2 linked regions of the Mus musculus genome follow. The protein of the gene in region 1 interacts with the protein of each later gene in a biochemical or structural test. Links are inferred from orthologs where the notes say so. Each region holds a gene or a part of one and is shown on either strand. Other genes may lie near its edges. The genes, in order: Arfip2 and Arf5.

Region 1 (4,330 bases):
ACTTATGAGGTACTGGTGAGCCCTCTCCCACAACCCTTCCAACTTCTGGGCCTCTGTACAAACCCTTAGGCTGCCTCCATAGGTGAGTGATGCTGGGGGCAGGACTGGGCGCACCCCAGAGGGGTTCTCCCTGGGGGCTGCAGGAGGGAGGGAGGGAGGGAGGCTGAGGAAAGCCTGCCTGGAAGGACCAGGGCCCAGTACCCCCACCCTCTTTGTTTTGGCTGAGGCACCTGAAGCTCTGGGGACTTCTGGCTGAGGTCAGCAAAGGCATCACCTAGTGCATGCTGGGTCTGCAACAGGCTGTAGAGGTGGGCTGTCAGTGCCCGGCCCAGCTGCAGGACACTTTCATACTTGCGCTTCGTCTCACGCAGCAACTCAATCTGCAGCTCTAGCTCCAGATCCACAGTCCGGGAGCCTCGGCCAAATCTCTCTGATAACAGCTGCTTTGTGCACTGATTGGAAGGGGGGGGGGGTGAGGTCAGAAATCTAAACTCCACCCCAACAATGAACTACTCCAGCACCCCCGTTCTCTTAGTCATAGCAAAGACTACACAGTAAGACCTGGGGAAAGGGAAAAGGTCCCCACGGAGAATTTCTGAGGAGAAGCACTTGAATCTTACCTTATATGTGTTGATGCCCCATTTCTTGACGATGTCAAACTTTTCTCCAGCGATGCCCCGGGCCACCTCGTCACCAGGGCCAGAGGGTGACGTGCTGTGAGATGGATGTCGGCCAGACCCTAAAGGACCAAGTTCTCTGACACCAGTTTCTCTTAGATAAAACCATACACTTCTGTGGCTCACTCCTCCCCCCCACCCCCCCAAACACACGAAATGACCTCTCTGAAGAAGGACTATCTAGACAGACAACTGCATTCTTCTGGTCACTAGGGGGAACAAGGACTCATGTCCTGACAACCAAATCAATTCAATGTATGTATCTGGCATTCTTGGAGTAGGGTAGGAGTGTTGTTGGTGTACGAGATAAGCGGGAATAGAAGCAAACATGACATGTGCGATTGGCAGGATCAAAGATGGTGAACACAGAAAAACAGAGAAGTTGGCTTATATTTCTAGGTAGAATTCTAGCCAGTAAAAGAGTCTAAAATGAAACTCTGAGAAGCCTCACAAAGCTCCAAACTGGCCTTAAGCTCCTGAGTGCTCATAACCTTAAGGTCTTAACTTGGCTCAGATGGTGGCGGCAAGGAGGAGAAGACGAGTGAGATTATCTTCGAGACTGACTGGCCAGTGGGAGGCAGATGGGCAACTCTGGGAGCTGGCCTGGGACTGGACTGTCTATGAACTTCACACCAGCAGTTCGCAAGCTCTCCAGTCCAGGAGTCAAGCTTTCCTGTATGTGTCTATGTGCCTGCAAACTGTCTCAACACCCCACCCCTCAAGCCTATCTCTATCATTCATACCTGTGGGGATGAGTCCGTCACCAGAGCCCCCATAGCCACCAGACACAATGCTAGTTTCATTGAGGTTGGGTCCTGACACCATCACCTGCTGGAGGTCCTATAGGTCAGAGAAGAGGGGGGCACCTCAGGAACACAGGGATGGATGAAACATTTTGGGGACGGAGACAGTGCATAGTAAAGTCTGTACAGAACCATAAAGAAGATTTGAAAAGTATGAAGGAGTTTAGTTAACTGAAGGCTACCGGGACAGGGGAAATTAAAGGTTTATAAGTCAGGAATGTATAACAAAACAATGAGAAGAATCAAACAGAAGCACCTGCTCCAGCCCATCGTCTTCAGGAAGCTGCCCAGCTTCGCCATTTCCGTGGATGGGAATCTCCATTGTGGCTGCCTTCCCTAGAATCCCGTCCGTCATGGCTAGGGAAGGGACTGGAGTCAAGGTCTCCACCCCAGCACGCTGTAAAGCCCAACACAGACAATTCTGGAAACTGGCCAGCACTCCAGAACAAGGAGGCCTTCCCTGTGTTCTCAGAGGTTTCAGGGGTTGTCTTTGGGCTTGGGTGTCCTGGGATCAGCCACCACGGCTTTCCTTGAGTTTGTGTGTTTCTTCTCTTCTGAGGACATTATCTCTACAGATGCATGCATACCAAAGCCTCGGGTGTCTTCTCATAACCCCCCTACCTCGCCTTCAGTAACCATTCATGCATTCAGTCATTCAACAACTATCTAGTGAGTGTCTATTATGAGTGAGATACTGAGGCAATGGGATTATAGCAGTGAGGACCAGAGGGGAGGTCTATGCTCTCTGGGAACTTAACCCTGCAGAGGCAATGTTTACCAGAACCCTTTCCTAGGCTCAGACTCTCACTTGCCACTCAGGCATGCTCTACAATCCTGGTCTTTCACATTCTTTGGTGTTCCTTCCCCTCTTCCTTCAGCCGGTCTGGGCTCTTCCTTTCTCCATCTCATGCACCTGACTCCCTTAGGCCCTCCCCAGCAGGCCTTGGTTGAAGCAGTTAGTGAATGTTCCTGGTGTCAGGTGAAAGGCTCTCTTTCCCAGGACACGGGCAATCCCTTCCAAAGTCAGCTGAAGCCTCCCAGATGTGAGGGGCTCCCCCCACCCCCATACACCTGGGCATCAGGTGTGTCCTCATCCTTGCCAAGGGCTCAGGGCATTTTGCCCTCAGTACAGGTTCGTGCGTTCAACTTCCCTTCGTCCAAGTATGTCCTTCTCACCTGGGCCGGGCCGCTCTTCCCCTCAGGGCGCGAGGCCCGGACCGCGCGGGGACCTCGGGTTCCAGTTCTCGTCGCGATCCTAGCAGCAGGTCAGAGATTTGGCGGAAGTGACATGCTCTCTGGGCAGAAGAAGCCGGCCACGTCGCAGAGAAAAAGGGCGGAAGTGACGTTTGCAGTTGTGGGCAGGACGAGCCTGGAGCTACGCCTTCAAGCTCTTGGGGAGTAGTGAGAGTTTACTTCCGGGGCGACTCTGAGAGCTCTAACCTCCCCCCTCCGCCCCCCCAACCCCGCGCCACCCTGCCACCCCGCCACGGGCGGAAGTGACTAGGGCTGTGCGCCCTTGGCGTGATGGAGCAGCAGCAGCAGCAACTGAGAAACGTGAGTGAGAGCGCAGTTGCTCTCTGGGTTAGACGTGCAGTTTGTTTCCAGGGGTACACGCAAGAACCCGAGGGGGAGACGGGCTGTGCATCCCGGGGAGCCTTAGCGGTGGTGAAGTCGTGGTTCCCTTTTCTCTCAGTTGCGAGACTTCCTGTTGGTCTACAATCGGATGACAGAACTGTGTTTCCAGCGCTGTGTGCCCAGCCTGCACCACCGAGCTCTGGACGCTGAGGAGGTGGAGACAGTGTGGGGGTCCCAGAGTTGACAACGTGACGTGACACCCTCCCCCAGCCCCCCATCTTCTCCCTCTTTCTTGACCTCACTCCTAGGCTGGGGACCGGGAAGGAAGGAGGCGGGCTTGACTGGACCCCTTTTAGTTTCTACTTCCCTCCGTCTTCCTTCCAGGAGGCCTGCCTGCACAGCTGTGCTGGGAAACTCATCCATTCTAACCACCGCCTCATGGCCGCTTACGTGCACCTCATGCCCGCCCTGGTCCAGCGCCGCATCGCGGACTACGAGGCTGCCTCGGCCGCGCCAGGTATTCCTGCAGAACAGACCAGAGACTCGCCATCAGGCAGCTAGCCGTCCCTGGCCCCTGGAGAGAAGGTGCTTGGATGGGCTCCTCTATGGACCTTGGGCTTATCTAAATGTGTACAGAGAGATTGAGCTTGAAAGCTGGGTGCTGTTGCTCCTTTTCTTGGAGCCAATAAACCCGTTTTTACAGTCTGGTTATTTGTCTATGGGTACCAGCCTTTATTCTGTCATCTAGTGCATGTGTACTGCCTTTAGCCCTGGAGGTTGATGTAGTGCCTTCTTATGTGTAGAAGGACAAATTCAGCATTCCCAGCACCCCAGCAAAAGCAGGGATTATGGGTAGAGCTTTAAGGTTAGTAATAGCAATGGGAAATTGGTTCCAAAAGGAGAGCTCTCAGTGGCTGTCCTTGGGACTAACTCAAGGACCTGAATATACATTGACTCATAACTAGTTTTTATTTTCAGCTGTCAAAAAGAATTGCTGTGAACCTAGGGGAAGAAGGTAAAACCAAACAACAAAAGCAGGAAGAAAACTCTACCCCCTTAGGCTTTAGCCACTGCTTCCTAGGAGGTCAGTGACAACAGAACAAAGACAAGCCTCTAAGAATTCAGGAATGTTGACCATTTCCCCAATTTACTCTCTTAGTACTTCCTGCCTTTGTGAAATTAGCAATAAAGACTTTAAACAAAGAAGTGCTTTCTTGTCTTCAGAGTCAGTCAGGAAGGCAGCATTGGTCAAACCTCAGGAAGAGAACTCGAGGG
Region 2 (4,422 bases), on another chromosome or scaffold:
AGGACTCATACTAGGAAAACGAGGCCGGTACCTGGTTAACGTAAAGCATAATAGCTCCCTCCCTTAGTTCTGATTAGTAAAAGGGGCATTATATAGCCATAAGGCCCATCTTGCATACCAGCATATGCTGGGGTCAGGGCTGTGTCACAAGAGTTACACTTACGGGAACATAGAGTAAAATGTACAGAGGGGTAACATGTCCAATGTCACTCAGCTAGGAAGTTTAGGAGTCCTATCTCAGTCTGCCTCTCAACATACTACATGCTATGCCAGATAGCACTACTGAAGAAGCATGGCCTTGTCCCAAGAAACTCCTAACAGCAAGGACACAGAGATTCAAACAGGTAGCTCCTGCCTTCACACTAGTGTGTCGGGGCATTGCAGAAGTGGTATAAAGGAGATGAGGCACCTGCCAGGACAGAGACTCTTAGGGGAAATGATTTGAAGTTTGAGAGATGAGTAGACTGCCAAGCTCAATGCAGATGTGGGAAACCAGCATGGAGGAAAGTGGAAAGGTGTATAGGGACGTCAGGCATCAGTGAGCCTAACTTGCCCAGGAAGCTTATGGTGTGGGAGAAGGGTGGCTACTGATGAGGCTGGAACAAAGGACCCAACTTAAAGGCATTTAGATTTTACCTTAGGTGACAAGACATGAAAAGATTTTCATCTCAAGAGCACACCATCAAGTCTCCTTTTTCTTTTCCATCAAGACTCTTGTGGGGACTGTAAGACGACTCAGCAGTAAAGGCACTTTCCACCCAGGCCCAATGATCTGACCTGAGTTCTATCACCAGGGCCCACACGGTGGAAAGAGAGAACATATTCCCACAGGTTGTCCTCTGAGAGCTACACCTCCACACATGAACACGAAATAAAAGTGGGGAGGGAGCCAGGCGTGGTGGCGCACGCCTTTAATCCCAGCACTTGGGAGGCAGAGGCAGGTGGATTTCTGAGTTCGAGGCGAGCCGGGTCTACAAAGTGAATTCCAGGACAACCAGGGCTATACAGAGAAACCCTGTCTCGAAAAAAAAAAAAAAAAAAGGGTGGGGAGGAGCTAGAAACAAAATAAGATTCCTGTGACATTATGAAGATACCAAGCCTGTGAGAGGGGTGCGGGGAGGGAAAGAGATGAAATAAGAGTGACAACGGGTTTTAAGAAAATATTTCTGTAATAAAAATCTACTCAAGATGCCAAGGCAGCCGTCACATCTCCGTGAGTTCGAGACTAGGCTGGTCTACATAGCAAGTTCCAGACCACCCAAGGCTACATAGTGGACATAGTGTTTCAAAACAAAAGACAATGAGCTACTTTGAGAATCTTTTAAATGTACTTTTCGACTCTATCAAAGTCTTCTCAGGAATGCAAGTTTACCACTTAAGAGTAAAGCAAAGTCCTGCGGTCACCGGAGACCCAGAACAAGTCCCCTTCCAAGCCCTGGTCCCCAGGCAGGCTGCCAGGCCTCCCTAGACTTCAGTTCTTCCGCAAACGCGCCTGGGGGGCGGGGCCGGGGCGGACCCGGAGGGGCGGGGCCACGTGACGTCGGGCGGACCCGGACGCGCGGAGGTGGCGGCGGCGGCGGCGGCGGCGCCTCCTCCTTCTGCTGTTGCGCCCCATCCCCCCGCGGCCGGCCGGTTCCAGCCCTCGCCCCGCGTCCCCTGCCCGCGCCCCCGCCCCGGGCCCCGCCATGGGCCTCACGGTGTCCGCGCTCTTTTCGCGGATCTTCGGGAAGAAGCAGATGCGGATCCTTATGGGTGAGGCAGATCGAGCGCGCGGCCCGCTTGGGGCGCCGGCCCCGCCGCAGCCCTCCCGCCCCCGCGTCCCTCTAGCCCCGCTCACCTGGTACCCTGACCCCGAGACACCCCACCGCCAAAGCCTCTGGGGGCCGCGCTCCCGTGCAAACCAGGATCTGCAGTGTCGGCCCTGGGCCTGAAACCCGGAGCTGGGGCCTGGGTGGGGTGACGCTTCCTCCGCCCCAGCCCGGCTGCTAAGAAGGGAGGATTCCGCCCTTGGAAACGACTTTTCAAAGGAACGCGGCCTTCCTCCCAGGTCCCCTACCTCCCTAGCCCCTCTCGCCCCTCGGGCACTTGAGGGGCAGGAGTTGGCACTCGCCACCCAGACTGCCCTCAAGGCCCGGAAGGTGGAGAAGAGCGCGCACCTGGAGGCCCTCCTGCTCTCCGCCCCCATCACCATCAGCTGGCCAGGCCTCTCCCTGTCCCTGGGCTCTAGGGGGCTCCCTCGCTCCCGTCTCCATTCTTTGCCCCCCCCCCCCCCCTTCTCCGTTGCAGTTGGCTTGGATGCGGCTGGCAAGACTACCATCCTGTACAAACTGAAGTTGGGGGAGATTGTCACCACCATCCCCACTATAGGTGAGTCCAGGACAAGGAGCGGGAAGCAGGAATGTCGCTTTGAGCCTTGTCGGGGTCTGCTCCCACTTCTGCCTAGGCCCTTATCTGTCCCTGACCCTGACACCAGATACAGCTACTTGAGAAATGGGTCACCGTATCTCTAAGCGCCTGATGGTGCCTGAGGCGTGGACCATGAGCCTAGCATATCTGTTGACCTCCGGTCCTCTGGATTCTATTCCCCTTGGCCTTGGTGGTCATTGCCTTCTGGATTTGTGTCCTTTGCAGAGATCGGAGTGGTTTTAGTGAGTTCCTTTGAGGACCTGTTTTTTACCCTCTTCACTCAAAAAAAAAAAAAAATGGTTTTTCCTGCAGGCTTCAATGTGGAAACAGTGGAATATAAGAACATCTGTTTCACAGTGTGGGATGTTGGAGGCCAGGATAAGATTCGGCCTCTGTGGCGGCACTACTTCCAGAACACTCAGGTGCAGTTGGGTTGGGAGGTGGGGGAGACAACCCCTGGGAGAGGGCTTGAGTTAGACCACGACTGGGCTGTCACCGCTCTCATCTTTGCTAAGCTTAAGAATTCACCCTCACCTTATTCTGGGAAGCAGAGTTCTAGGGCCATGCTGTCTTCTGTAGTTCTCAACAACACAGCTTTTCCCTCGCTCCCTCCCTCCCTCCCTCAGTGGTCTCTGCAGACTAGAAGTTTACCAGATAAGAAAGGCTAATACAACTCAAGATGGGAGAAGTGAGACCAGGCCAGGTGAGGGTGGGACCTAGGTAGGAGTGACCCCTTCTGCTTCCTTTCTTCCTTCCCACCCAGGGCCTCATCTTTGTGGTAGACAGCAACGACCGGGAGCGGGTCCAGGAGTCTGCTGATGAACTCCAGAAGATGGTAAATACCGAGCTCTGGGAACCGAGCCCTGGGCTTTTGGACAGAGTCCTCCGGGGGGTGGTAGGAAGTCCAGAACACTAAGGGCAGGAGGTTTTCTGTCATGGCACTAGATAAGTCCTATCTTATCTACTTTAGACAGGACTTTTTAATTTAAATCCTTTCCATCCAAGTCTACGGAGTTGGGAGAAAGAGAGGGGTTGTCTATGCTAAAGAGAAATAGCATCTCGTGTTACTTGTTCTTTTGTTTTCTGTTGGAATTTTTGTCATCTTTGCTTAGCACAAGTTCTTAAATTAGGATAGTTCAGTTTTTTTGTAGAGGTAAAGTTTAGGGGGCTGGAGCTTACTTAGAGCCGTGTTGACGTTCAGCAATGAACTACACAGTTCACTGTCTTTTTCCTACAAAGACTCTGGAGGTTTGAAATGGGAGCTCCCCAGCAGTGCAGTCAGCCGGGGGGCCTTGAAACCACAGGTCCCACTCTCCCTTCTCCCCTCAGCTGCAGGAGGATGAGCTCCGGGATGCGGTGCTGCTGGTGTTTGCCAACAAGCAGGACATGCCCAATGCCATGCCCGTGAGCGAGCTGACTGACAAGCTGGGCCTTCAGCACCTGCGTAGCCGCACGGTAAGGCTCACGTCCCCTCGGCACTGGGCCCCGTGCTCTCCTGGGCCCGCTGGACAGAGAAGAAAGAGAGGGGTTGTCTATGCTAAAGAGAAATAGCATCTTGTGTTACTTGTTCTTTTGTTTTCTGTTGGAATTTTTGTCATCTTTGCTTAGCACAAGGAAGAGTTCTCTTCCCTGAGACTGATCTCCTTCTCTCTGTCCCTACAGTGGTACGTCCAGGCCACCTGTGCCACCCAAGGCACAGGCCTGTATGATGGGCTGGACTGGCTGTCCCACGAGCTGTCAAAGCGCTAGCCAGCCAGGGGCAGGCCCCTGCTGCCCGGAAGCTCCCGCGTGCATCCCGGGATGACCAGACTCCCGGACTCCTCAGGCAGTGCCCTTCCTCCCCACTCTTCCTCCCCACAGACAGGCCTCTGCTCCTGCGCCTGCCTGCATGCTCTCTCTTGTCGTTGGAGCCTGGAGCCTTGCTCTCTGGGCACAGAGGGCTCTGCTCTCCTGCCTGCTGGGACCTGTGGATGGGCTTCCTGGCCAAGGCCCCCTCTTCCAGGGGAGGAGCAGGGA

The links.
Region 2: the proteins of Arfip2 (region 1) and Arf5 form a complex in vitro, tested with the Homo sapiens proteins (2 studies listed by BioGRID). The link is inferred for Mus musculus from reciprocal best matches to the Homo sapiens genes ARFIP2 and ARF5.

Annotation. Positions count from the first base shown.
Region 1 is NC_000073.6:105,637,589-105,641,918, forward strand, and holds the start of Arfip2 (arfaptin-2), read right to left. Parts: upstream 2,829-4,330; 5' UTR 2,657-2,828; intron 1,878-2,656; 5' UTR 1,836-1,877; coding exon 1,737-1,835; intron 1,518-1,736; coding exon 1,421-1,517; intron 740-1,420; coding exon 621-739; intron 453-620; coding exon 231-452; exon of another isoform or gene 138-230; coding exon of another isoform or gene 66-137; exon of another isoform or gene 1-65. Other genes in the region: Timm10b (mitochondrial import inner membrane translocase subunit Tim10 B), read left to right, coding at 3,005-3,034, 3,174-3,269, 3,440-3,572. UniProt on the Homo sapiens protein: Plays a role in constitutive metalloproteinase (MMP) secretion from the trans Golgi network. May have important functions during vesicle biogenesis at certain cargo subdomains, which could be predominantly utilized by secreted MMPs, such as MMP7 and MMP2.
Region 2 is NC_000072.6:28,422,004-28,426,425, forward strand, and holds the start of Arf5 (ADP-ribosylation factor 5), read left to right. Parts: upstream 1-1,600; 5' UTR 1,601-1,685; coding exon 1,686-1,752; intron 1,753-2,286; coding exon 2,287-2,367; intron 2,368-2,718; coding exon 2,719-2,828; intron 2,829-3,169; coding exon 3,170-3,241; intron 3,242-3,735; coding exon 3,736-3,861; intron 3,862-4,068; coding exon 4,069-4,155; 3' UTR 4,156-4,422.